3 linked regions of the Drosophila melanogaster genome follow. The protein of the gene in region 1 interacts with the protein of each later gene in a pairwise test. Each region holds a gene or a part of one and is shown on either strand. Other genes may lie near its edges.

Region 1 (4,696 bases):
CAGCAACAGAAGCCAATTTTTTTAACAAAGAAAGAAAGAATTTTTATAAACAATTTACAACTTATTGAAACGTTTTGGATGCTATTTTAAATAAAAAAAAGACTATCAATGATCTATAAACATTTCAGATTCATGGACAAGGTGGAAATTGTAACAGACCTTGAGTATTTAAATAAGTTTAGCTTAAGGAAAACGACACTAAATGTGCGTTGGAGCGCTACGACGATACCTGGATATAGTAAATTAGCTACAATAAAAACTTAAAAATTTGAAACCACGAGTAAGGTGAAATCCAAATACATAGCTGACATGTAATTAATGTCAATTCAAGTTAATAATTAATATGAAATAAACCTATTAGCAATAAGTAAATAAACGAGATAGTTTTCGGTGTCTAAATATGCATTTGATGTGATCATAACTAAGGCTATGTTTGTGATGGATGAAATAATGAACGCCAAGAATAGCCATCCATAAAAATAAGGGAATCAAGTAATAATATGACCTTAGCGATGTAAAGGAAGGCAAAGAATCTTTTTAGGAACAAATCGAAATCAATTTTACGAAATTTGTAGACTTATTATACTTTAAATTATTTTAAGTAATCAATCAATCAACGATTAACTTCAATTGAAAAGAAAAAAATCAAATCGAAATCTTATATTTTCCAAAATAATAAAAACGCGTATCACAATTAAGCATTAGATAGAACAAAACAGTTTGGCAAAATAAAAATAAATAAAAAAAAATAAGGGTAATAACTGGAAAATTGTGATTGGCTTGGCAGTTGCTCAGAAAGTTATTTTAACAATTGAATATGCGCTAAATAACAACATTGTTTATGAATGTCCTAGGTATAGGAAAAATAAAATGAACGTTTGAAGGAGAACCCAGAGCAATGATGAGAAGTACAAACCGAGAAGGATAAGGAAAATAATGAAGTTGTTCCATAAATAAATCAACGTAATCCAAGATAATGTAAGCCTCTAGATGTCAAATGTTTGAATTGGCGTTGCTCTTGACACCCAAATTTTCTTTGCATGTATCAAACTGAAAAACCAAATCCCATTCGTATTGATGTCTAAATATGGAAGTTGTTTGTGTAAATGTGTGAACGTAATTCAATAAAGGTTGCCCGATAACTGATTTTGCTTGAATGGGGGGGAGACTTTCTAACTTACCTTATAGAAAACGTCGGGAACATACTGCTTGTCCGTGGATTCACGCACGTAGCCCAGCTCGGGCGCATCCTTAGTGGGTATCAGACAATTATCGCGCACCAGAGCCATGCACTGAGCCGAAACCGCATAGCCTTCCATGTGCACTTGTTTGGTTTTATCTCCTGTAATGTTAAAAACTATTTTGGTACTAGTTCATTAAGCAGTATTAAATCGTGAATCTTACCTGTTACACAAATGGTCACAAACTTAGAGCCGAAGACGCCATTGGAGGCATATTTACACGGATTTGGATGTCGATTCTGCAGCTCGCCAGCTGTGATGCACTCCTGGGCCGTAATAAAGTGCGACTCGATGCCACGGATCTGTTTGACAGTGCCGATACTCGCATCGTCCGTGATGAGATCAGTGAAAATCCAACCAATCTATAAATGTCACAAAAGTCAATACTAATGCTACATAGCTACTGTCTATAACTAACTAACCTTCTTCAGTCCCAGCGCACTGGCTACGGCATCCACATCGTCGGCGAACTCATCCGGCTGAATATTGATCGAATCCCTGGTAGACTCTTGTGGCGGCTCATAAATGGCAGCCACCTTGGCCCGAATGCCCAACGGAACATCAGTGTGCTGCTCGTACGTCCCATACAGATATCCCATGCGCTGGTGTCCTGTGGTGCGCCAGTAGTTGAGGAAGCGCTCCACGATCTTAGTGTTCTCGAACATGACGTTGTCCACGTGGCGATATGTCTGACGATTCAGCGTAATGGCCGACGGCTGGCACTTGGAGCAGATGCCCTTGGGCCATGGTGGATGCTCGCGACATCCCGGCTTGATGCGGCAATTGATGTCGTCGAAGACAAAGTACTTGCCCTGATCCATGCCGGATGTCTGCTTTCGTATGTACGAGTGGAAGGACAAGTGCTTGATATTGTGCTCCTTCAGATAGGACTCATCATAGGGCTCCAGTGCGGAGCAGTGAACGCAACGGCCGTTGGCATTGTGGTGGCACCTACAAAAAGTTATAGGTTGATCAGTTTAATTTTACAATTAATTGTATAATCAAGGCCTACAGCTTGCTATCACGTTCGCGCTTAATGGTGCCATCAGCCTTGCTCAGAGCCTGGTCCACGTCATCTTCGATCACATTGAAGGATGGACGAGCGCTGTTTGGATTGCTAATGGTGCTAGTCTTGAACGCCTGACTGTCCAGGACAGTGGTGCTAGTGCGCTGAGAAGTGGTGAAAAATGCAGGTTAGTCCCCGATCGTTCTGCTCTATATGATCAACTTACGCGCGATGATGTGCCAGCCATCTGTTTTAAGTAGACCATGTCGCCATGCCTCAAGGAAGTCCCCACCAGCTGGGAGCCACTTGCCTGCAGCTCTGTGAGGAAGTTGCGCTCCTTGAAGAGACCAAATCCATCCACCTTCAGGGCATTCTGAACGCTGTCGTACAGATGCTTTAGATTTGACTTGGGCGAGATCTCGATGCGTTTGATGCCCTCCGCCGACTGAACGCGAATTAGCTGGAATTAACAAATGAATAACAGATTCTAATTAGTACTAGGACAGGTGAATTTGGCAATTTCTGATCCAACCGATTGTTTACATAACACAAACAGACGATGGCGCACAAAGGCGTAGGCGAAATTGCGCTTCTTGTAGATGAATTGCTCGAGCAGCAGTGGTGCACAGGCCATTTTCTGGACTTTCTGGACGGGTCACTGGGTGATGGGCGGTTGGGTGGGCTCTTGTGTGGGCGGTGGTGGGTGGTAGATTGGGTAAGGGGGATTGTCAAGTGTAGCTATTAGCTACCAAAGCCTGTAGGGCTTTTTGCTTAGTGTTTCGAACTGTACGTCATGAAGGCGCGAACTTGACTGCGGAAATTTATCTGGCATCGCAATTAAAAACAAATGCAATTCGTTGCCAAAATGAGTGCATAGTTAAAAAGAGAACTAATGCCTGTATATGTAAATTCGGATCTGTAATTGTATGAGCTTTAAATAAAAAATAAAACAGCATTTTGAAAGACAAGCTGCATGCAGTTTTAAAACAAAAAAATTATATTAAATTTGTATTTAAAATTTTAAGTTGTGCTATTTACTGGTATGTGCAGTTTTCTTATTTTACAAAACATATATTTCAAAAATTAATTTTACGCAGAGACATTTTTCTGAGTGTAGCACCCTATCAACCAGAAATTGCTTTATTAGACAGAAATATCCTCAAATGCATTTCCCCCAGGCGGATTGCAGCCAACAATTGTTAATAATTTATTTGGTTTTTGGATCGGTTTTTGGTCTCAAAACCCCCGCACACTCCCCTCAGTCCTACTGCCGCCTAGACTGCACTCTTTCAGTGGAAAATCTACAAGTCATGGTACCATTCAATTTCACCGCCAGCACCTTTGGCCGCATTTCGGGACTTGCAGTGGATTTGCACTGCCGGGAGTGCTTCCAAATGGGTTCATTATGCATTATATGCTTCGCTTTTGCCGGCTGAAATGCACTTTAAATATATTTTCCATACATTTAGGCAACAACAACAAACGCCAGCGAACTGGAAAACCGACATTGTTTGCCGGCTTTTTTGGTGGGTAGCTATAGGGAAACACTTGACCAATTTCACTGCACACACTTCACCAATAAGACATTCGCTTAGTTTCCACCCTAAATGCACTTTTTAATTTTTTATCAACAATTTACTTACAATTTTGTCATTTGGCATTGTAATTTTGTCTCTGTCTCTGTCGCACAGCTGTGGGGATGGCGATAGTCTGCCCAGAGGTGGAGAAAAATCGATTACTCCCGGATATCGATGTCTCTATGATCGGTTTCTTGTCAATTTAAAGCGATTGTTAACCAATCCCAATTAATCGAAAGGTGAGGCGGGCTATTTTAAAAAAGGGAAATTATCTATTAGCTTCAGGTAGACTTTGTGCACATTTATTAATATAGCGGCGTGTTATTCTACAATTAGACAACAATAAACCAATCGCATTCTAGTGGAAGACAGCGTATGAAAGCAGTGGGGGTGATCCCTCCATCGGACTTCAGTCGTACTTGAGGTTGCCCATGCAAATGTACTTGATGTCCACATAGTCGTCGATACCGTGTTTGGAACCCTCCCGTCCGACACCGGACTCCTTGACGCCACCAAACGGAGCCTCTGCTGCGGAGATGATGCCTTCGTTGACGCCGACCATGCCAACCTCCAGTCGCTTGGCCACCCGGAACACCTGCTGCAGATTCTCGCTGTAGAAGTAACCGGCCAGGCCTCTCCTGGTGTCGTTTGCCTTCTTTACCGCTTCTTCTTCGTCTCGGAACCGTATGATGGAGACCACTGGACCAAAGACCTCCTCCGAGTAGAGTTGCGCCGAGGGTGGCACATCTGTGACAATTGTGGGTGCGTAGAAAAGGGATCCCTTGTCGGGCAACGGCTGTCCGCCCAGAATAATGTTCGCCTTCTTCGACCTGGCGTCCTCCACAAAGCCACTGACTTTGTTGAACTGCATC
Region 2 (3,379 bases), on another chromosome or scaffold:
GCAATTTTTATATGTATACCAAAAGCACTGTGGACACGCCACTCCTTTCACCTTAAAAACTCCCAAAACAGTAACGCCCACATTTTTAAACAATTTTTACTCATTTTTTTCTATCGATATCCCAGAAAAATTATTAAATTTCGCTTTTGCATTCACACCAGCTGAGTAACCGTTATCTGATAGTCGGGGAACTCGTATGTAAAATTCTATCTTGTTCTTAATTTTTTTGTATTAATTCCATATTTATCTAGATTACACATCTGCGTAACCGATTCGTGACTACGCCAAGAGACGGCCACCACTTCATATCGAGAAGAATCGATAAGGCAGTTGTACTGCGATCTTAACGGAAAGATTTTTTAAAGCTCTTCAATTTTTGTTTTTAAAATTAAATAATTCATTATTTAAAGTGCTGCCAAAAGCTTGTTATTTAACGAAAGGCTGCAACATATTGGAAAGGGCTTGCTCGACCTTATCTCACAGTAATCAGAATGTTATTTTGGGTGACCAACACCACTAAGGCAAATCTTAGGGTATACCTGTCTACCCCAATACAGAGACTTAACATATTTGTTTTTTATTTTTATTTAGTGTTTGTGTGTGTATTAAGTTTGTGTGTTAAATGTGTAAGTCTGTTTTCTTGCATGCCTCTAGGCTTACTAAGCTTCGGGAACTATTTCAACATTATTGTAAGCAAGCAAATGAACAATTTGGAGGAAGAGCAAGGATGCACCATGGTTATCCGGGACGATGTTAGCAATTGCAGGCGGGGCACACGGGCTTGTCCCCGTCGATGGTGAAAGTCTGCGAGGTTATAGGATTCTCGCACTTGTTGCACCGGAAGCAATCGCGATGCCACTTCACGTTCATGGCGAGCACCGCTGAGTCCGTTATAGGCTTCTCGCACTTGGCGCACCTGGCAGCAAAGAGGTCCTCGTAATCCTTTTTGCAATAGGGCTTGCCGTCGCGCTCATAGAACGTTTGATTGGCGAGCGGCTTTTTGCAGGCACCGCCGCAGCAAAAGCAATCTTCGTGCCAGCTCTCCCCCATGGCGCAGATGGTTTTTTCAAGGATCGGCTTCTTGCAGCCGGCACAGGTGTAGGTGTACCGCTCCACGAAGCACTTGTTGCACACTGGTTCTCCGCTCTGAACATTGAAGGTGGCATCCAGGATCTGCTCATCGCAGTGGTGGCACAGGAAGTGCTCCGGGTGCCACGTCTTGCCCAGGGCGGTGATCATACGCTTGGTGATGGCCTCCTGGCACTTGTGACACACAATGCTCTCAGTCATTTTGGCTTCTCGATTGGTAACTGCAAAAAAAAAATGTGTTTGTTAATACGCATGTACAAAACAGGGTTGCTATTGATTATCGATTTATTGAAAGAAACAATGAAAGCTGGATAGGCAACGCAAATATCAATGAGAGAAATTATAATTCTGTACTAATTTCAAGATGGGATGTATTTCTTACTGGGTTTGGCGCCTGTTTCACTACTTCCTCTTTCTTTTCGCAATGTTTTTTTCTGAATTCGTTATCGTACTCTTCTCATATATCAAAACAATTTTCACAGGGCCACCGTTTTTACTTTACTTTCTTCTAGATGGTTCACACAAAATGGGAGAACAAAAAGAAGCAATACGGACTTGGACAAAATTTTGATACTGTTTTTTTTTTTTTTTGAAAAATTTTGATGTTTTTATTCAAATAACTATAGAAAACGAAACGAATGAAAACGTATGAATTTAGCAAGACTCAAAAACTGAATGAGATATTCGATGGAAACGCTGGGGGTATGTTTTGACATCTAGAAAATGTACAAGCATCGCCTACTGGACTGTAAAGTATTTGATTTTCCTTTCTAGGCTTTCTATGTTACTGTGACTACTGTTTAAATTTGTATCAAAAGGTTAATTGCCTAAATAGATGGCAATATGCTTGTGATTTCTTTAACATAATTTTATCTCCTTACCGAAAGTTATAAACATACTTTAGTCACTTATACATATTCGAGTATAAGAATTAGTCACACCAAAAACCATTAATAAATGGGTAAAAGGATAATAATAAGGGAGGTCTTCCACTTTCAAGGGTGATTTCTCCAAGCAAAGGGGCGGCATTTCCTTGAAGGCGCTGCTAGAATGTTTCCCAATTTATTATACAAAATTTAATTAAAGCAAAAATCCTGCGAAACTTCCGCATAGCCGGCAATTAACAAGGGCTGGGGTGGTGGCTACTCCTTTAAAGGACTCATCCACCCAAACGACTCGCCAGAAGGGTCGTCGTTGCCTCTTTCATCGTGGATCATGCACTTCGAAAAAATGAATTCGCTGAAAGAAATATTACTAAAACATCCAATTATTAAAAAAACAAGAGAAACAAGTTGTTTGGCAAGTCGAAATATGAAAATATTATATCGAAAGGTTTCTCAAAAATGTGGGCGTGGCAAAAAGTTTTTATGCAAATTGATAGAAAATAAAAATATAAAAAATGAAAAAATATCAACACGTTTTTCAAAAGTGTGGGAGTGACAGTTTTGTGCGGTATGTAGGCGTTAGAATGGGCGTGGCAACATGGGCCAAAAACTTGTCTCTTAAATCTGTGTGCTGAATCTCATCCTTCTATCATTTATAGTTCCTGAGATCTCGACGTTCATACGTACAGACGGACATGGCTACATCGACTCCACTATTGATTTTGATCAAGAATATATATACTTTGTAAGGTTGGAAACGCTTCCTTCTGCCTGTTACATACTTTTCAACGAGTCTAGTATACCCTTTTACTCTACGAGTAACTTGTGTAATAAAATTGAAAGTATTCTATACAGTCTTAGCTACTTTCGTGTTTCTGTATGAGTTTTTTTAAAAGTGTGAGCTGAGTAGGTCTGTATTAACTTATTCAAAATGATTTAGAGAATTATTGAATAATATATCGTGGAGTAATTACCCACAAACCCTGAACTATTGTATAACTTAAGTATAAGTTTTTTCGTGTGCCTGTGGAACATCTTTTGTTCCCTATTGAAGGCCACTCGGTGGAGCACAGCAATGTGTGCGGTCGCTACGCAACGGGGGTGGGGGTGTGGAGCTCCTGGTGGCGCTCGGGAGTCATCGGCGGAGGACATGTCACAATTTGGTTTGCGCTTTGATGCGGTGCATGGAATTTGAAATTGCAGCACCAGTCGGACGGGCGAGCTAGTTGTGTAAGTCGGATGGGAATTTGTGTCAGGCGTCTGTCTGCGTATGCCAAAGAGTGCTCGTATGCCATCCACATCCTCATCCAAATACAGATCCAAATTCCCAGCCCCGAATATAGGTTGAGCTGCTCGTAATTATTTATATTGAGTACTACTAAGAATTTCCCATGTTTAACCGATAA
Region 3 (3,378 bases), about 18 Mb from region 1:
CTGCGTAAACATTTGTAAATTTGCTCTTTTTCAGGTGTATACACGGTGCAAACAAAACTCGACTGAACGGCTAAAAAATGGTCATAAAATAGCATTTGACAAATGACGCACTTCCTGTCAACGCACACAATCACAAACGCATACAATCACACACGCACACATTTATCCCTTATCGGTAACTTGTAAAAAGAGGTCGAAACAATTGCATTGCTTTTAAACATGAATCTGCTCACATAGTTACACAGTTTAACAATATAATAATTCATTGTTTGAATTTATTTATGAGCGCAGCTCAAATATTTAATATGCACAAACGGCAGTTTGTTTAAATGTAATTTAGTGGAATAATTAAACAAATGCGGATTTTATTCAAAACTATTTAGTTGCTGTCCGATTGACTAACCTTTTTGTAAACGAGATCCTATTAAAATTTAACAAGTAATCATAAAATACATTTTCTTACAGTTCTTACGCCAGCCATCCAATTTGTTAGCTCACTAACTTTGCAGCGAAATTATAAAAAAGGCTTTAATTGCATAATTAAATTTATTGGCTGTACAATTTTCCATAAGGTAATTTTATCAGTTTTGCAGAGAATAATTGCAAAATTAAATGAGCTAATTAAACCATTTCCAAGTGGAATAAAAAGGCTCATTTACTTTGCAATTGGATCAGTTTTAGCAACCCAGACTTAAATCCGTTTTCAACAGATACTCGACGCGACGTTTTTCCTTAGGAGGCAGTTGAAAGAATTTTGAGACAAAGTTATTCAGTTCCCTCTTTGTATGCAGTGGGGGCCACATTGTTTTATAGCACAGGATTCTAGAAAAGCCACGAAAGTCCCGGTTAATTTATGTTATCATTTCTAACTTTTAGCTTACTTCTTCAGGAAAAACTGGTCGCAGATATTGCGTTGATTGGCAATAATGTGCTCCATTTCGTGAAGGAACTGCCTATCATATTTCGCTTTGGAGTCCAGATACCGCACATAGCAATTAAGATCGCTGGAAATAATGGTGTGTCAGGAAACCTAAGTAACTCAGCAAGTTCTTTCTTAACTGACTACTGAAAGTGCTTTATATCGTAGCTGGGATGCAAACTGGCATCGGCCTCGTCGTGGAACTTGATCCTTGGCTCATACCACTCGTCGAGCTCCTGGAGACGATGGAACTCATATCGGGAAGCAAGTCCTGACAAGGAAACCAACGAAGTGGTCTTCGTCCTAGTCAGGAATTCCTCCACTTTCTTAGCCTTCTCCTGGGCCTTGGCCACAAACTTCGCGTTGAGGCGGTGAACTGGTACATTTTTACCCCGCAGGACATCTCCCGCTGAGGGGATCGACTTAATGGTTACAAGGCTCGTCGCGGACATGTTGAAAATTTGATACTGCTCTTGGGAAACTGGAGATTTTTGAGATATATTAAATGGCTTATTTATGCGGTGACTACTTTGATTCGACAATTAACGCTTTAATAAATACGCCACATAGTTGTCACCGTCAACAACATCTGAGTCCTTGGGGAATTATTGTTTTAAGCCGCTGGTGTTTATAAATATACATGGAAACAGCCGAGAACATCATGAGGATTCATCAGACGATATATGGAAAGGGGTCAGGCTGCTGTATTTTATTTACACGGCCATTCACATTGGCATTTCAAAAATCATTCATTAATTTTTTAATTCAACAATCAGGCTGGTTCAAAGTGGCGTGGAATAAAAACCAAAAAAGGAATCTCTGTAATAATATCACATGCAATTATTGCAGGCAATATGCATGCAATTATGCTAAAGGATATCCATTGTAAAAAAAACTTTGCAAGTGAGCCCGAAATAGAGTTGCGAACTCGAAAGTTCTCAATGCGATTGGATAGCCTTTGTAATTATGATGTCCCTAAAAAAATGAAAAACTAACAGGGCCCTGTTCGAACTTTCATTGACTTATTTGTACCCTTAATAATGGTCCCTCCTAATAATCTATGAGGAGTAGTGCGACTGCTAATCTACCCACATTTGCACCCATTATCCAGGTGTGGTCGAAAATTATTCTCAAAAAGATTCCACACATTTTCGCGCCATTAAACATGCATTCGCGCATTTAATTTCATTTTTTGAACCGCCCGAGTTGACGGAACAGAGCCATCAGCCGGACCACAAGAGTGGCCCACTGAAGGGGGAATAGGAGCTGCCGCCGACAGGAGAGTTGGCCAATGTTTGCACAGCAAAAACATGGCCCAAAACGCTGGGTCTATTAAGAGCACATTTGACCAAAGTCGGGGCTCCGGCACGTGTGCAATGAAAACAAACGAGCCCATTATTGTTACACTTTTCTTTGGCAACCGGCCGCAGAGACCATTAATGATGTGTTATGGCCTCAAGAGGCCGGCCTAGCCGATCCTTGAACTTTGGCCAGGCAGAGCCTGTGAATTGAACTCTAATTGCAGATAATGAATTGCTCGCATTAGGTCAACGAACAGTCGTCCGGATTGCCGCAAAGTGCCTAATGGAAATGCAATGAACTATTTATGGGCATAAGTAGCCAGCAATTGGCTGACTGAAGTTTGATCACGCACTGGGATTATTAATGCCGAGACAGGTCGACTTCCCTTTAAAGTGCTCATCTCATCAATTTGTGGATGTTTTCCCTTGGCCTTTTGGCCAACCGTCATTTTGGTCGCCACAAAATTGACAGCAGCTTTCCCACAGCGCGTAATGACAAAACAGTGACTAAAATGTTAACAACAAATCCAATTTATTTCACCGACCGGCCTACGAGGGACATTAATTACCAGATGGATCACGTATAAGGTATTAAATGCAAACTCAATCTGCCAATGGGGAAATGGCCAAATAACAGAGTGGTTGGTCAAATCTGGGCACACAAACTAACACAATCTGCTACTAATTCCCACAAACTGCATTTAAAGATAGCGGATTTCATTTAATAGAATGTGTTCACCGCCATTGATAATATTAATATAAATATAAATATAAACGTCATTCAGAAAAAGCGTTAAACAATAAACAATAAACATTGACAATGGTCGATGGTCAACGAGAGTGTAAACAACAAGATTTACTGCCATATGCTAGGGGATTACGGGTGTAATTGTACGCCACTTCGAAATGACATTGAACCAGACATGAAAATTGATTTTGGGCCTGATGCCGAGTCCATTACGGAAATAAGTTTGCTGAGCACTCGGACCATATTTTCAAAAACATTTGTTTATTGGGCAATTATTTTACTGGGTTGCCGGCGGACTTCGCCCCGGCAGAATGAAACAATTTCACTTATGCACAAGTATTTCATATTGTCACAAATTCATTTTCATTTCAAGCCCTCGCTCCAGTGTCCCCAAAATTCAGCAATCCAGA

The links. The genes of interacting proteins can lie anywhere in the genome.
Region 2: the proteins of Npl4 (region 1) and CG31988 interact in a two-hybrid assay, tested with the Drosophila melanogaster proteins (one large-scale study listed by BioGRID).
Region 3: the proteins of Npl4 (region 1) and CG11286 interact in a two-hybrid assay, tested with the Drosophila melanogaster proteins (one large-scale study listed by BioGRID).

Annotation. Positions count from the first base shown.
Region 1 is NT_033777.3:25,620,699-25,625,394, forward strand, and holds the start of Npl4 (nuclear protein localization 4), read right to left. Parts: upstream 3,048-4,696; 5' UTR 2,882-3,047; coding exon 2,780-2,881; intron 2,708-2,779; coding exon 2,474-2,707; intron 2,412-2,473; coding exon 2,254-2,411; intron 2,193-2,253; coding exon 1,664-2,192; intron 1,604-1,663; coding exon 1,405-1,603; intron 1,343-1,404; coding exon 1,182-1,342; intron 1,141-1,181; exon of another isoform or gene 1-1,140. Other genes in the region: Ssadh (succinic semialdehyde dehydrogenase), read right to left, coding at 4,234-4,696. UniProt on the Drosophila melanogaster protein: May be part of a complex that binds ubiquitinated proteins and that is necessary for the export of misfolded proteins from the ER to the cytoplasm, where they are degraded by the proteasome.
Region 2 is NT_033779.5:21,200,963-21,204,341, forward strand, and holds CG31988 (uncharacterized protein), read right to left. Parts: upstream 1,841-3,379; 5' UTR 1,472-1,840; intron 1,311-1,471; 5' UTR 1,291-1,310; coding exon 754-1,290; 3' UTR 531-753; downstream 1-530.
Region 3 is NT_033777.3:7,770,330-7,773,707, forward strand, and holds CG11286 (uncharacterized protein), read right to left. Parts: upstream 1,428-3,378; 5' UTR 1,372-1,427; coding exon 1,064-1,371; coding exon of another isoform or gene 1,063-1,063; exon of another isoform or gene 1,005-1,062; coding exon 882-1,004; intron 823-881; coding exon 678-822; 3' UTR 531-677; downstream 1-530.